Danio rerio: one gene and its partner. The protein of the gene in region 1 purifies or fractionates together with the protein of each later gene. This does not show direct contact. Links are inferred from orthologs where the notes say so. Each region holds a gene or a part of one and is shown on either strand. Other genes may lie near its edges. The genes, in order: ranbp10 and armc8.

The links.
Region 2: the proteins of ranbp10 (region 1) and armc8 purify together in Homo sapiens (affinity purification with mass spectrometry; 5 studies listed by BioGRID and IntAct, with this or other methods). This does not show direct contact. The link is inferred for Danio rerio from reciprocal best matches to the Homo sapiens genes RANBP10 and ARMC8.

The regions. Positions count from the first base shown.
Region 1 is NC_133193.1:23,393,274-23,397,108, forward strand, and holds part of ranbp10 (ran-binding protein 10), read left to right. Parts: intron 1-1,029; coding exon 1,030-1,222; intron 1,223-3,499; coding exon 3,500-3,621; coding exon of another isoform or gene 3,622-3,636; intron 3,637-3,835. UniProt on the Homo sapiens protein: May act as an adapter protein to couple membrane receptors to intracellular signaling pathways.
Region 2 is NC_133184.1:29,548,414-29,552,745, forward strand, and holds the start of armc8 (armadillo repeat-containing protein 8), read left to right. Parts: upstream 1-1,253; 5' UTR 1,254-1,260; coding exon 1,261-1,305; intron 1,306-4,332. UniProt on the Homo sapiens protein: Component of the CTLH E3 ubiquitin-protein ligase complex that selectively accepts ubiquitin from UBE2H and mediates ubiquitination and subsequent proteasomal degradation of the transcription factor HBP1.

The DNA of each region.
Region 1 (3,835 bases):
CTATAGTTAATCTAATGTGTGTGCGTATTGGCAAACCATTAATGAACAAAAGGAGGGTTAATAGTGAAATCTGCTAATCATTGCATCCCTATTAATGGTATCATACGGCATTTTCTGCAAGCATATCCAAACATGTCCAGTGACTCACTCTCTGCGCAGCCTTTAACTGCAGCTTGTGCTGTATTGAACAGACGCACACCACTTCATAACTATAGCGGCCGTTTTTCGACTGAACTAATTTTATTTTTGAAGTCTTGGTTGCAGTATTTAGAGGGCCAAAACAAATTGCCCTTATCATTACCGAATAACAAATAGATTTATAGATAAATATATATATATATAACAAATATAGCAAATTTAAAATGAATTGTATGCAATTACAAACAATTAATGATAAATCAGTTTTAGTCATTATTATTATTAAAATATTATATTAAACCTTACATACCTTATAAACTTTAGACGTTTTATTAAGTTTGATATCAGTTCAAGAAATACCGTACATAATTGCATATATAATTTAATAATTATTTATTAATACTTTATCCCATTAAATAACGTGAATGAGATGCATTACATTTATTAGACAATATAGTAAAAATGCAAATATTTGTATTGTTCCTAAAAATAGGCTTCTTAGGCTCATTAATTTCATTCTATTTCCACAAACAGTTTTCGAATTTCCTTCTATCACGCTTCAATAATGTCTTCATGAGATTCACACTTTTTTAACTTGCTAACCTTTTAAATCAGCAGCTAAAAGCGTTACTTAAAAGATCCTAGATATTTGTGTAGAACATAGTAAAGAACAGATGTTTCATAGATGATTCATAATTCTGTGGGTGTAGATTCTGTGTGGATCTGATCATGAGTAACATTTATAAAAGATGCAAAACAGATAATTCATCCTGTCGTTTGTTCCACCTGTGCTGCACTTTGGGTGATTTATATTGATTAAAATGAATGTACTTTCATTCACACTTTTCCTTATGATACTTTCCAATGTGTGTATCTCTTCTCGTGGCTCAGGCGCAGACAGTCCCACATGCAGTAACGGGGTCACTCCTCCAAACAAAAATAAGAGCCACAACAAATACACAGGCATAAGCTCTGCATCCTCCTCTCCATCCTCCTCTCCCTCCTCCGTCAACTACTCTGAGTCCAACTCCACCGACTCAACCAAGTCCCAGCCTCACAGTGCCACCAGCAACCAGGAGACTAGGTCTGTGTGTGGATGTTTTTTTTTTTCGTTGTGTTTGTCATTGACAGTAAAGAAAAGAACACTATGCATTTTTCTAATGTGATTTTCATAGTTTATTTTTCTCCATGTTGCCACTAGACTGGGCCTTAACAAAAATGTGGGGGCTCGTCCGGGATTTGCACATTCTTGAGCAAGTCCTAAAAGAATAATGATTTTCTATAAAAACTAATTCACCCCAGGGGGTTATACAAACTGATATAAAATAATAATTAAAAAAAATTGGTTAGAAAGTTAAATACAATTTCAGATGGAATTCTAGGATGGAAAATTTTGAGGAGCTACAAGTATACAACATAATGTCTGCTTTAATAATGCTTGATTATGGGAAAAATCATAATCACAATTATTTTGGTCGTAATTGTAATCCCAATTATTCAAAACGATATACAGTTGAAGTCAAAATTATTTCCCCTCCTGTGATTTTTTTTTTTTAAATAAATACATATTTCCCAAATGATGTTTAACAGAGGAAGGTTTTCGCAGTATTTCCTATTATATTTTTTCTTCTGGAGAAAGTCTTAATTGTTTTATTTTGGCTAGAAGAAAAGCAGGGATAACTATTTGTAAAACTATTTTAAGATCAATATTATTAACCCCCTTAAGCATTTTTTGATTATCTGCAGAAGAAACTACTGTTATACAATGACTTGCCTAATTAACCTAGTTAGGCCTTTGAGATGCATTTTAAGTTCAATGCTTGTATCTTGAAAAATATGTAGTAAAATATTATTTACTGTCATCATAGCAAAGATAAAAGAAATCAGTTATTAGAAATGAGTTATTAAAACTATTATGTTTAGAAATGAGTTGAAAATATTCTTCTTTCTGTTAGACAGAAATTAGGGGAAAATGTAAAGGGCCGCTTATAATTCTGACGTAAGTAAGGGAAATAAGTACAATAGAAAAAAAATGAAACAAGCTGTTCTTTATGCATCGTTCTTTACTGTAAGAAAAAACTTTAATTAAAGCTACATAAGTCCTTCAGTCATGAGCAATGAGTGAGTTTGTTATTTTGTTGTTTGATTAATGATAAAAACAGTCAGCAGCAGGAATATTGCGTGCTGTCACTTTAAGAGGACTACGCTCTACTGATCTACTGTTTTACTTTCACATGTCTTATTTCTCAACCTGTTTGTTTATTACATAAATGAGGGTTAATATGAGTAATCACACCACGTTTTGACACAAATTTGCATGTATTTGACCATTAAAGCACTCACATTAAGATGACGTTAGATGTGTGTGTTCTGCTCGTCTCTGAGCGCACACCCACAACAACACAAACTCTTTATGAATGAATGTTTTTTCTTAATTGTTAGATGCCAAAATCAAAACTGAATTTGGATTAATTGCACAGCCCTAGAAGAATTCAGATACATTGAAACAGTGTTAAGTGAGAATGAGAGACTTCATAAGGATCTCAAAGTGAGGGTTGCCGCATCTGGCAGACTATATCACGCTTTAAACAGAGCCTTTCTGGGAATGAGAAATCTCCACCAGAACAAAGCTAGCTGTTTATAACTCCACCTATGTGCCTACTCTTTCCTACGGGTGTGAGTCTTGGCCACTTACTAGCTGCAGGAACAACAGATTGCAGGCGATGAAGATGCGGTACCTTAGACAAGTCTCTGCCAAAACTCGTAGAGACCAGGTAAGGAACCAGACCATTAGGACAAACCTACAAGTCGAAGCACTGATTGAAATAATTGACAGGCATAAGATGAGGTGGTTTGGTCATGTTGTCAGGATGAAAACCACAGGGTTCCAAAGCAGACGCTAGAGGCAAGAACCCAAGGAAAGAGGTAGGCCTTGAATGAATTGGATGGACTCGCTTACCCCAGCATTCCAAAAAAGAGAAGTAGACCCAAACTGCGTCAGAACAGTGGCCACAGACAGGAAAAGGTGGCAAAAACTTTGATCAGCCTCTACACCGCAAGGTGGAAGAGGCCAGGAATAAACCAAAAAAATGGTTAATGTCATTAAGAATTAACTAAACAAATTCCAATATTTTCACAGACCCATCCCCCAACTTCATTTGAGTTTGGCACCTTTGCCTTACCTTTAGGCACATGTTATATAATGGCCCCCAGCAACCAGGAGACTAGATCTGTGCTTCTACTGATTTGTGTTGGTGGTTGTGGTTTTGACTTTGAAACAGAAAAACTGAATATGGATTTGGATGCCAAAATATAAATTCGGAATCTTGTCTTGACTTGTGTTTGTTTTGTGCATTGACAGTGATAGTGAGATGGAGATTGAGGCAGAACATTACAGCAATGGTGTGACAGAAAGCTCAACTCGCATTATGAACGGCACATACAAACACCAGGAAATCCTGCAGGCGGATGACAACAGTGTCGGCAATGGAGTAGCCGGTACAGGACATATTTAACTGACTTTATTATTTTTATTGTTTTTAGCCCCTGTTCATTCTTGATTGAGCTGTGACTTGCTCTTCGTCTGATTCTCTGTCCTTCTCCCTTGAGAGACACTTAATTGAGCTCCTCTATTATTCAGCCTATTAAATGTTTTTATCCAAGGTTGCAAGGAGACAGAGACTGGAAACTTTTGTAA
Region 2 (4,332 bases), on another chromosome or scaffold:
AATATGTTATGAGGTCGCATAGATTAATTTTCAGGCGCATATGCGACCAAAATGGTCGCAATTTCAGCTTCAAATGTTGTAACAAGCACGTCTGAAATGAGCCCGAATTTCTGTAGATTCAAAACAGTCAGCACGGATATCCCCGCCTCTTAAAGGAGCAGTACTAAATTACAAAGGGCTCAAAAATAGTCTTCTGGCGCCATCTCGTGGACACTCTGACACGCTTTGAGTCTGAATTTTACAAATTTAATATAAAAAAAATATTTATAGGAAAACTGTTATTTATAATTACACCAAATAAATATGATAATTATCTGTAATTTCAAACACATCTTTTGGCCAAATTTGAGGATTGTATACTTTTTTATATGCCCCAAATACTCGATACAATTTTTTAATTAAAAATTTTTTAATTCAAAAACTACAAATCTTATCAGCATGAGGACATACAGCAACCATCTCCTGAGCAAAAGACAGCTTTTGACCAAATTTGGGGCTTGTAGCATCTAAGCCCTGGGAGGAGAAGCGATTGCTTTTTTTTGGTCAGAAGCCGGAATAATAATAATAATAAGAATAAGTTTAAGTAGCATTACAGTATGTTGGCTTTCTCAAGCCAACATAATAATAAGAATAAGTTTAAGTAGCATTACAGTATGTTGGCTTTCTCAAGCCAACATAATAAGTCTGACTTCAACTGTATATATATATATATATATATATATATATATATATATATATATATATATATATATATATATATAATAATTATTATTAATAATAATAAGATTATTATCATTATCATCATCATCATCATTATTATTAGTATTATCATTATTATTAATATTATTATTATTATTATTAATGAAGATGAAAAGATTGTGAATGTTTAATCATTGTTATTTCAGTATTTTGTGTGATTTTTAAAAAAAGTATTAATGCCTTTCTCCTATTATTGTTCAAGCATTTGTTAATAAAAATAGGGAACTAATCAATAAAACTTAAAGTCATAAAAGTCAGAAAGCCAAAAAGTTATAGGAACCATAAATATTATGTACATGTCATGTTATGTTCATATTTATTATGTTATATGATATATATTTTGTGCAGAACTCCTTAGATCCCGGAATCCAGTGGTGTGGAAAGTGCTGGTGGGAACGTTCTGCTGGATAAGGTTGTAACGAAAGTGCCGCTGTAAATAGTCTGCTGACTGAGCTACGTTCGTGTGGAAAGTGCCGCTGTGAATATTCCGCTGAGTTAATGATGGCGTGCCTGTTGGAGGCCCCTTTACGCATCAGCGTGTTATCTGTGAGTCTCTTTGGTTATTCCTTTTAAAAACTCACATTTTCACTTCATGGTTTTTCAGATATACACTACACACATTACATAGACCTTAGCGGTTAATCTTAACTTCACCGGTGTGGCTTTTCTGATGACTGCTTGTCTGTTTATGTGGCTAACAGCAGATCTGGATGGGCTCAGAGCTGTCAAATCAAAGTTATATTTAGTTTTCTATCTATATTTAGAGCCTCGGCTTCAAAAACAAAATCAAACCTGCTCGATACTGTCTGATGAAGTGCTTAAGGGATGATCTGATGGGCAAATGTGCTGGAAACGCCCCCCTTTTGACAGCCCTGTAGTTTGTGTCCAGTGTGTTTTGACACATGTTGATCTGCACTCATTGTGGTGGGACACCGGTGCAATGATGAGATCACCTGTCAATACTGTGGTACCTGTACAGAGTAAAGATTAAAAATAGTGATTATCATTCTTAACCGGTTATTAAGAAGTACTTCAGTGGTAGTGTAGAAAAGTATGGTGTTACTATGATTCCTTTTGGAGGTGACCTCTTTTAAAAACTAGCTTTCATGTTTTGTTTGAATTGAGGTAAAGTTGGTTTTATATTCGTTTATATATCGCTCCTTATTGTTTACCACTTCATTGAATATTCACTCTGAAACCAATGTAAGTATGACTTCAAAACAGCATTGACACTATTTGATTGGCTATAGACCATTACAATGTGGTGATGTCATTGGTTCATGAACATTCCCTGCTTGTTATCAAACTAATTAATAACTGTAACAAGAGGTAATTCACTCATAACTTAGTGTCAAAACAGCTATTATAACATTATTTATCAATATGTGGCTCTTTTTGGATTCTCGGAAGCTATATACATTAAAAATGTAACACAGGAAATATGTTTGGACCATTGTTTTTGTTTACATCCTTCAAAATGGTCTATAAACAGTGTTGTACTTTGATAGTTGTTGAGAGCTAATATGATTGCATTTTTTAGAAATTATATTATTAAGGAGAAAGCCAGAATGTGTCAATATAAAACCAACTTTAGCTTAGTCTTTTTTAGGGCTGCACAATATATAGTTTCAGCATCAATATCGTGATCTGAGCATTCGTAATATTCGCATCACAGGATCTTCAATGCTGAGTCTGGATTATATTAGTTTATTTTGTATTAAATATTTTTTGAGGCCTGTGATGATTTTAAAAGCAATCAGACCTAAGAAATTGTACTGTTTGTAACTTAAAATGATTAGCTAATAATAAATAATTTTATTGAACTGTTATATAGCGAAGACTATGCCGTATTATTTTACATTTGATTCTTCAATAACTATATGCAGTCCTCAGCATAATTAAGTGCACCCCATTTTTGAAAATGAACATTTTTATACATTAGTGAATATAAACAATGTATTTTGGTATGTTTAAATAAAACAGATTTATTAAACAGATATATTTATTCAAATAATATTTTAATCAACAAACATATTTAGAAATTGAAAGATTATACAATTACATTCAAGCAAAATATTGCAAAAAAAATTAAAAATAAAAATAAAATTACAACCTACAAAATTTCAACAGAATTTTTAACTTTTTTTCAATTATAGATATTATTTTTCTATAACGTACATTTGGGTGTACTAGTTTTTGGACCGTTATCGTCAGTTATTTTGTTAGATAAGCTCCAGATTTGGCTTTAGTGCTGACTAATCTAATGTATATGCACAATTATAATATAACTTCCTATTAAAAATATGAATTTAAAAGATAGATTTGTGAGGGGTGTACTTGTATATGCTGAGAACTGCACCTGAACAGTGTTAAGACATCATGGAAAACAATAAAACATTTTATTTTATTTATTCTTTTTCTTTATTGAATGTATCTATAATTGTAGATTGTCAATTACATGTTTTGCAGATGCACTCTCTTAAAGAATCATGTAAAAAATCATGTATAAATTATTTCCAAATAGAGATATTCAAATCATCTTGTGAAATTGTGTTCATATCGTACACACACATACACACACATATATGTAGGTTAGATTTTTCCAATACCGTGCAGCCTAGTTTTGTATAGTATCTTCTTTTCTGTTCTCAAATGTTTTTAATGTTCTTCTCTAATTTAATCAAATCAGTAGAGTGATACTGTTAAAGCGTTAACTCTTTGAAGTATGATGAATAAATGCTCTTATCAGAAAGTCAAGTTATTATTGTGCATATCAACACAGTTTCTGTTCACAGTGTTCTTATTATTTATGATTTACACCTGAGGTCTCTGAGACGCCCATAAGAATTTTGAAAATTTTATCAGCATAGTGATATTTCTGAATTCTTGTCATGATGTCATTTATTGTCGTATTACAAAACTGCAAGGCATTCAGACCCTAAACAGATGACAAGAGCACGTGTTTTGGCCTACATTCCATCCCACACTTTAACCAATGTCAGATAAATGTTAATGTTTATGTAAGAAGTGCAGCCTAAATGCAATGACCTCTAAAATGACAGCCACATAACTCTTTAGGGCTGGGTAATCAGAGTTAGACATAATGCTTATCCCATAATTATCCCACATCATTCAAATGCATTGTTGCAGTGTGTTTAAAGCTCATTTTGTGCTGGAACAAGTTTTGTTGGTGCCTTCTACAAGTCAGTGTGAATTTTTGAGCTGTTGGAAATACTGGTAGGTAAATGCAGTTTTTAAAAATAATTTTTTTATTTGATGTGTGAATGTTATGCTTAGCTTTTTTTCGAAGTGTATTTTTTTCATAATTCTTTTCATGAATAATATTATTAATAATAATAATTATTATTATTATTAGGGCTTGGTTATTATTCGAAAAGTCGTCGAAATCGACATTCAGAACCTATAATCGATCTAATTTTACCGGGTACATTTTTTCAATAACTTTTCCTAGCACATGTGGAGTGACATGACCCGCGACTTGTGACTTGAACGCTGTCAAGGCTAATTTATACTTCTGGGTGGAGTTCACGCATATGGTGGGTTGCAGACCCG